2 linked regions of the Macaca fascicularis genome follow. The protein of the gene in region 1 interacts with the protein of each later gene in a pairwise test. Links are inferred from orthologs where the notes say so. Each region holds a gene or a part of one and is shown in the gene's direction. Other genes may lie near its edges.

Region 1 (4,106 bases):
CAGGGAAGTTCCAGGTTGTACGGGTGGTGAGGAGCCTTGTGTCTGTCTGCGCTTGCCCTGGTGAAAAACCCACCGTTCAGGCTGCAGGGTGTGAAACCCAGGCACAAACACTTCGCTGGATGCGGAGGAAAGATGCAAGGTTGCTCCCCTTCAGAGACAGCAAAGGGCAGATCTGTAGCTCTACTTACTTCAGGATTATGATTTTTGACAGAGCCGGGAGATCAGGGTTGTTGAACCAGGCCTGAAGGTCCTAGTGAATCTCGTGAAGAGAGGAGGGGTCTGACTGTAACATGGACCTAGAGGACATTCTTACTGCAGGAGAAGCAACAGTGGGGATGGGGTGGACTTGCCAAAGGAATGTAGCTCAAGTTCCTGCAGCCTAAAGCAGCTCAGTTTCTTTCGGCCAAACTTTCGCGAACTTCCCTGGCATTTCTCCTGCGGGAGCTACCGGTGCAGTGGGACACTTAGCCTCTCTAAAAGCATCTCCACAGCTGTTTGTGTCAAGCCTTTATTCCAAGAGCCTCACTTTTGCGAAGTAACGTGCTTCACACATTGGCTTCAAAGTACCCACGGCCGGTTGCAGTAAACATTGAGGAGGCCTGTCTCTGCGCCCAAAGTTGGGTGCCCTCATTTCAGACGATTTCTAGGGTGCTTCACGGGATCTGAAGGACCCTCGGACTTTAGAGCACCACCTCGGACGCCTGGCACCCCTGCAGCGCGGGCACAGCGACCTCCTCAGCTGCCAGGCCAGCCTCTGATCCCCGCGAGGGTCCCTGGGTGCTGCAGGGGAGGTGAGGACCAGAATAAAGGAGCAGTTTCCCCGTCGGTGCCATTATTCGACGCTGGCTCTAGGGCTCGGCCAGTCTGTCTAAAGCTGGTAGAAGTTTGTTCTGTAAAACAAAAGAAGGGAAAGGGGGAAGGGGACCCTGGCACAGATTTGGCTCGACCTCGACATAGGCTGGGCCTGCAAGTCTGCGGGGACCCAGTCCAGAGGGGCAGTGCTGGGAACGCCCCTCACGGAAATTAACTCCTCAGGGCACCCGCTCCCCTCCCGCGCGCCACCCCCTTCCCGCGGGAGACCAGGTCCCGCGGGGGTCACCGCTGTCCACCGCCTCCGGCGGCCGCTGGCCTTGGGTCCCCGCGGCTGGTTCTCCTCCCTCCTCCTCTCATTCTCCTCCTCCTCTGCTCCTCCCGATCCCTCCTCCGCCGCCTGGTCCCTCCTCCTCCCGCCCTGCCTCCCCGCGCCCCGGCCCGCGCGAGCTAGACGTCCGGGCAGCCCCCGGCGCAGCGCGGCCGCAGCAGCCTCCGCCCCCGGCACGGTGTGCGCGCCCGCCGCGGCCAAAGCGGCCGGAGTCCCGAGCTAGCCCCGGCGGCCGCCGCCGCCCAGACTGGACGACAGGCCACCTCGTCGGCGTCCGCCCGAGTCCCCGCCTCGCCGCTAACGCCACAACCACCGCGCACGGCCGCCTGACTCCGTCCACTATTGATCCGGAGAGCCGGAGCTTGCTCTTCGGGAAGCAGCTATGCGACCCTCCGGGACGGCCGGGGCCGCGCTCCTGGCGCTGCTGGCTGCGCTCTGCCCCGCGAGTCGGGCTCTGGAGGAAAAGAAAGGTAAGGGCGTGTCTCGCCGGCTCCCGCGCTGCCCCCGGATCGCGCCCCGGACCCCGCAGCCAGCCCAGCCGCGCACCGGCGCACCGGCTCGGCGCCCGCGCCCCCGCCCGTCCTTTCCTGTTTCCTTGAGATCAGCTGCGCCGCCGGCCGGGACCGCGGGAGGAACGGGACGTTTCGTTCTTGGGCCAGGAGAGTCTGGGGCGGGCGGGGGAGGAGACGCGTGGGGCACTGGGCTGCGGGCCGGCGGGGAAACGGCCGCCTGGACCTCCGGCGCCCCGAACCGCTCCCAACTTTCCACCCTCACTTTCCCCGCCCCGCTGCGCGGAATCGGCGTCAGTGGGCGAAAGCCCCGTGCGGGTGGGTGCCTGGGGCCGGGGTCCCGCACGTGCGCCCCGCGCTGTCTTCCCAGGGCGCGGCGGGGTCGCGGCGCGCACCCGAGGGACTGGCGCTGCCCACCCGCCGAGGCTGCGCTGTTTAGGGAAGCTGAGGAAGGACCCCGAAAATAAAGCCTCCCTTCGGACCCCGCGGGACAGGCGGCTTCCTGAGCGAACCTCCCTGCCTCCGCGCTCCGCGCAGGTCTCAAACTGAAGCCGGCGCCGGCCAGCCTGACCCCGGCCCCTCTCCAGGTCCCCGCGATCCTGGTTCCCAGGTGTGGAGTCGCAGCCTCAACCTGGGAGCTGGGAGAAGTCCGCCACCACCTGCGGCGCCTGGGAAGGGGTGGTGCTGGCGGCGGTGAGCTTCCTCGTTGGCAAAAGGCAGGTGGGGTCCGACCCGCCCCTTGGGCGCAGACCCCGGCCGCTCGCCTCACTCGGCGCGCCCTCGTCTTGCCGGTCCAGGTATGCCCCCCACCTCCTGGGGACCCGAGCTCCCTCCCGGGCGCCCGCGCAGAAAGGCCCGGGCTCTCGTTCGGTGGCCGCCTCGCGGGGACGTCCGGGTCTGCCCCACCTGCAGCCCTTCGGTCGCGCCTGGGCTTCGCGGTGGAGGGGGACGCGGCTGTCCGGCCACTGCTGGGGGGATCGCGGCCTCTAGTGCGGAAGCCCAGGAAGCAGAGCTCATCCTGGCCAGCACCACAGTGTTTCAAAATGGGGCTCACAGCAAACTTTTCTCCTCAAAACCCGGAGAGTTTCTTTCTTGGATGTTTCTTTTTGCTGTCTGAAGAATTTGACATTGAGCCAACCAAAATATTAAACCTGTCTTACACACACACACACACACACACACACACACCGGATTGATGTCCCTGGTTCAAGTGTGCCAAGTGTCCAGACAGAACATGAGCGAGTCTGGCTTCGTGACTACTGACCATAAACCCACTTGACACGGGAAACATGCCTCGGAAGGTTTAATTGCACAATTCCAACCTTGAGCTGCGCGGGTTCCAAGAGCCAGGCCCGTACTTGCTGTTGATGTCACTGGCATGGGGAGTTGGGGTTTGGTGCCCAGCGCGGTCGTTGGGGGAGGGGCAAGACATAGAACAGTGGTTCCCAGACCTTGCTGCACGTTAGAATTACCTGGGATTTAAAAAAAAAAATCAAAACAAAAACCAGTGTCTGAATCCCGCCCCCAGACATTCTGATTTAATTGGCATGGGGCAAGACCTGGACATGGGATTTTTTTTTTAATGCTTTTCATGTGATCTGTTGGGGAGCCAGGTTTGGGGATCACCGGACGGAAGAAGGATTGTTAAAGTCTCCGGAGAGATTACTTGCCAATGCAAAGAGCTCTTTGAGGACATCTGGAATTTTAACAATGTTGCCAAATATAGGAAAGAGGGAAAAGGTGGGGTGTGGTTCCAATAATAAAAGATTCCTCTTTTCATTGAAGGAACTGGTGGAAAGGTTTCTTCTCTGCTGAGCTTGCAGGGCCCCTCCTGCCTGCTTGGGGGCTGACTGTGGGTCCTGTTAGTCAGGTGTCAGCCCTGTCTCTGCTGAAGAGACTCTTCTCTTTATTTTAAATTAAACCCTCAGAGCACCTCCAAAGCATCACTTTTCTCCCTCCAGTGGGGTTCTCATTCTTTGATGTTACTTGCTTGAACACCACTGTTAGTGATTGGAGATTTGTTCCTGAGAAAAATATAAATACCACTTAATTTGCCTGTTTATCCTGTATTCACTCAAAACAGAAACTCCTGAAGACAGAGAGAGTAGGTGAACAGGCGCTATTCTGTTACAGTAACATAAAAGACTGAATTTTCAGGGGCAAATTATTAAAGTAGGAGATGAGCTCTTTTAACAGAAATTTGTTTGAGACCTGTGTCTATCAAATTCAGTCGATTTTATTCAAGATGCACTTCGTTTAGTAAGGGTTTTGTTTGGTTCTGGGACATGCTAACTTCTGGACTTGCTGCTCTTAGACGTAATGACTGCCAGACACCGTTTCATGCGTCCTAATCCCCACATTAAGCATAAGAGGTGTACACTCTCCTCCTATGGGGGAAACTGAGGTACAAAGAACTAAAGTGACTTTCCCACCGCTGGTAGGAGGCAGATGTAAAA
Region 2 (4,314 bases), on another chromosome or scaffold:
GGAGGGGCAGGGTCAAGCACGCACGAGAAGCTTCATGTTGTCATTGGTTACTCCCATTGCGTTTACTTCCTCTAGGCACATTGGAATTGGTTACTTCGACCAAAGGGGCGGGGACAAGGAAAAATCAGCCCCCTGACCCCGCCTCCTTGGTGAAGGAAGGTTGTGATTGGTCCGGAGAGGTTGCTGTCGGATCCGGGCTCTTTGAGGTCTGAGAGGGTGGGCTTTACCTAGACGCCGGAGGGGACCGATGTCTGTCTACGCAGGGCTCTGGAGCTGGTGCAGATCCAAGTCAGTCTCAGACAGTCCCCTCAACCCACAGCCTAAGCCCCTGGCCCTTGGGCCTCCGTGACACAGAACTTGCTTCCTCTTCCTAGGTTGTCCTTCACCTCCTTCAGGTTTTGCTTCTTTTGTAAAACCTTTTTAGAACGGCTCTAGTGAACCTCTCTAACTGGCAAGGAAATCTCTGGGGCCTGATAATCAGGCTGTGGTGTGGGGCGACAGGATTAGAAGGACTAGGCACCTGGTGGTCTCGTTCCCTCTGCCATGAGTCTTGGGTCTCTCAGCTGAAGAAAGCAAGAGTGAATTTTGGCCGCCTAAGACTAATCAACTGATCTGGGTGTTGAGCAGACGCAAATTTTTTAGTCCTAGAGCCCCATTGCCTCCTCCCCCAAAGTCGCACAACCACTGGGCTAAGGGAAATCTTGTGACCTTGGAGAAAGGGAGATATCACATTTTTAAAAAATAAATAAATAAATAAAGGTTCTAATGAGTGTTCTGAGAAGGGGTCAAGAAAGAGATGTCTTACTCTGAGGCGGGGCTGGAGGTCCAGAGGAATCTTTAAATGATAATGAGGGGTCATCCAGGAACACTGGAGGAGGATGGGGCCTAGAGTCGAGTGAATTCCAAGTGGGTGAAATTAGAGTGAGCGGTGACAATCAAGGGAAGGAGAGCTGGCAAGATCAGTATGATAGGGGGAGCAATGCCAGAGCGCTAGGGATCCCAACTGAGGGGCTGCTCTCTCCGATGTAGAAAGGAGTCTATAAGACGAGTCATAGGGGGTTCCTGTGGAATCAGCCTAAGGCCTGAGGTGGGACCTCCATAGGACACCGCCAGCAGGGAAGCGCGGGGCCCAGGCGGGCCAGGGACGAGAGTGGAGCGCGCCGGATGGCAGCAGCGGGCTCCTTTAAGAGGCCGGCGGCTCCATCGCAGCATCCCCCGCTCAGGGCGTGTCCGTCCCGGGGGGCCAGGGGCGGGGGCCCTGGAAGGAGCGGGAGTTCAAGCCGAGCAGGGACGGGGCTAGGGGTCGGGGGGTGGGGGCAGCAAGCTGAAGCTGACACCCGTGCATCCGGACACCGCACGAGCATCGCCTGTGACAGCGCCCCGGGTCCGGTGGAGGGCAGCGGGGGGAGGAGGGAAGGAGGAGGAGAAGGAGGAGGAGGCGGGAGCAGCATCCGGAGCGGAGCTGCAGCAGCGCCGCCTTTTGTGCTGCGGCCGCGGAGCCCCCGAGGTGAGAGCCTGGCCGAGTTGTGGGGGGGTGGGGGGCAGGGATGGGTCCGGGTCCTGGGATCCGGGCGTGGAGGGAGGGTCGGGATGCAGATGTGGCCTGGTGCGGGTGGTGGTGTGGGGATGCTGAAGCTGTGGGGATGGAGGAACTGGGGACCTGGACCCGACGCGTGTGGGGCTGGGAAGGAAGGGAATGGAGCGGAGAGATGCCGCGGCCCAGCTTGGAGACGAAGGGCCTCCAGAGCTGGAAAGGACCGTATTGGGGTGGGGTGGAGGGTGATTGGGGGACAGACTTAAAGGACAGAGGGCAAGAGAACATCTCCTCCCACTCATCCTCAGGAAGGGAGAGAGGGAAGGAGGAGGGAGAGTTTTGGCCCCCTCCAGGGAAGGAAAGGAAGGGCAAGGACTGATGTACCCACATCTCCCTCCACACACACACAGACACACACACACACACACACACTTAGCAGGCTGGACCTGAAGATTAGTCAGAGAGCACCTGTTCCTAGATGCCCAGGCGTTGGTCCCCTCCCCTTCCAGCTGTGATCCTCCTAATCCCCTCCAGCTGTGGCATTCACCTCCATCCAGCTGTTGCATCCTCCCCTCCCCCATTCACGTGTGGGTTTCTCCCTCCTCTTTCTCTCCATCTCCTCTGGCTCCCCTAACCCGTCTCCCCCAGTCAAACCCTCCAAAAACCTCCTCCCTTTCCCACAAACACTCCTCAAACTCATTGGCTTAAAAATAAGCAAGAGTTGAGACTTGCTGGTAACCAAGGCCTTGACTGAGAGGAGGGAAGAGTCAAGGCTCTATAGACAGTGGGAGGAAACAGTGAGGTGTCCCTTAGAATTAAGGGAGGAGTCCTACCTTGTAGATGCTCATCTGCTGCCTTTTTCAGAGGAGCATAGGTGAGTGGCCTCCAATCAGGAGGGAGTGCACATGAGGTCTCCTTACCCCACCCAGAGTCGTCTCAAGCCACAGTCAGTGCATCCCTCTAAACACATTTCCCTTGCAGTTCTCAAGGTGGACTCCATCGCTCTAGGAGCTCTGAGTTTCAGCCAGAGGGTCATACCAAGCCAAGGCTAACAGAAAGGATTTAGGAAGGAAAGGACTCAAGTGCCCCCTGAGCCTTCCTGTCCAGACACTGAAGTTTCTCTGAGCTTTAGGGCCCCACTCCCTCCTATCTCACACGGGTGAAAAAAACATGTGTGTCCCCTCAAGCATACCATTCATCCACTCACTCCCATTGTCAACTGGGGTAATGTTGGGAAAACCCCAGCTCTCAACATGTAGACCACCAGCTAAATACCCATCCCAGTTACAGACAGAGGAGGCAAGAAGTTAGATGTGGCTCAGGATTTCCTAGGCTTTCTTATAGCTGAAGAGGGCAGAACCCTTCTAAAAACCAATTGCGCCGGGCGCGGTGGCTCAAGCCTGTAATCCCAGCACTTTGGGAGGCTGAGACGGGCGGATCACAAGGTCAGGAGATCGAGACCATCCTGGCTAACACAGTGAAACCCCGTCTCTACTAAAAATACAAAAACTTAGCCGGGCGAGGTGGCAGGCGCCTGTAGTCCCAGCTACTCGGGAGGCTGAGGCAGGAGAATGGCATGAACCCGGGAGGCGGAGCTTGCAGTGAGCTGAGATCCGGCCACTGCACTCCAGCCTGGGTGACAGAGCGAGACTCCGTCTCAAAAAAAAAAAAAAACCAATTGCTCTTCCCCTGGTGGTGACAATATGGTAGGATCAGGCTTTTCTAGGAAGAGGACCCTTGGTTCTGCCACTCACGGCCCAGACTGTTGTAATCCACAGTCCTCCCTCTCCCCTGCCTGGATCTGGAGAGAAAGAAGGAATGAGAGAATCAGCCCCGTAAGAAGTCCTTGCTAGGGTGGACTGGAGATCACCCCTACATTCAGGTCCTCAGCCCTATACCAGTCAAGCCCTGGGACCCCCAGCTGCCATGCTTCTTCCAGTGAGGTGGAAATGTCTGCCCCTCATGCCCGCCACTCATCCACTCACTCACACTGTTGACTGAGGTGATGCTGGGAAGGAGGAGGATACTGTTGAGATGATGCCAGCAGGGGACATAGGGGCTTCATGAGGGCCTGGCCACAGAGACTAGTCTGTCCGGTTCATTGGCTCCCAGAAGCACTGGGGTCATATGTGTGTGTGGGGAAGGTGAGGAGACTGCGACAGTGACCAGATTCCAGAGGAGGCTAAAGATCATTCAGGATAGAGCCCTTGTCCTTTGGTTTCTTCATTCTTTGGTCTTTTTTCCCTCTTGTTTCTCCACCTCCCTTTCCACCTATACCCTCCCTACTGGTACTTGCTTTGAGAAAGAACAAGGGAAAGAAGGGAAGGGACTCACATTCATAAAAAACTTACAACTGTGTGTTAGGCACTTTCCATATGGCTAATGCTTAGAGAGAGCTTCTTGTGTGCCAGGTCCTGGGCGAAGAACTTTATTTTGATTGTCTTAATCATGCCCTTAACAAGACCAAGTGAGATAGTGTTATCATCATCTCTGATGGAGGAGAAAACTGAAACTTAAGTAATTTGTTGAAAGTAAAAAAGTTAGTATGTGGCAAGAGGTAGGATTTGAACCCAGGTCTGTGTGACCTAGAACCTGTGTTCTTACCCACCACATTATGTACTGCACTGCCACTGTGGGACATAGGTACCACTGTCCCCATTTAGCAATGAAGAAACTGAGGTTTGTTGAGAAGTCTCAAGCCAGGTCACCCAACTGGCCAGGAGCAGAGACAAGACCTCAGGAAGCCACTCTGAGTTTGAGGCCTGTGTTCTCTCCTCTAC

The links.
Region 2: the proteins of EGFR (region 1) and MAP3K12 interact in binary tests that used the Homo sapiens proteins (3 or more experiments, as listed by UniProt). The link is inferred for Macaca fascicularis from reciprocal best matches to the Homo sapiens genes EGFR and MAP3K12.

Annotation. Positions count from the first base shown.
Region 1 is NC_088377.1:75,386,167-75,390,272, reverse strand, and holds the start of EGFR (epidermal growth factor receptor), read left to right. Parts: upstream 1-1,262; 5' UTR 1,263-1,523; coding exon 1,524-1,611; intron 1,612-1,838; exon of another isoform or gene 1,839-2,447; intron 2,448-4,106. UniProt on the Homo sapiens protein: Receptor tyrosine kinase binding ligands of the EGF family and activating several signaling cascades to convert extracellular cues into appropriate cellular responses.
Region 2 is NC_088385.1:60,308,197-60,312,510, reverse strand, and holds the start of MAP3K12 (mitogen-activated protein kinase kinase kinase 12), read left to right. Parts: upstream 1-1,475; 5' UTR 1,476-1,507; intron 1,508-4,314.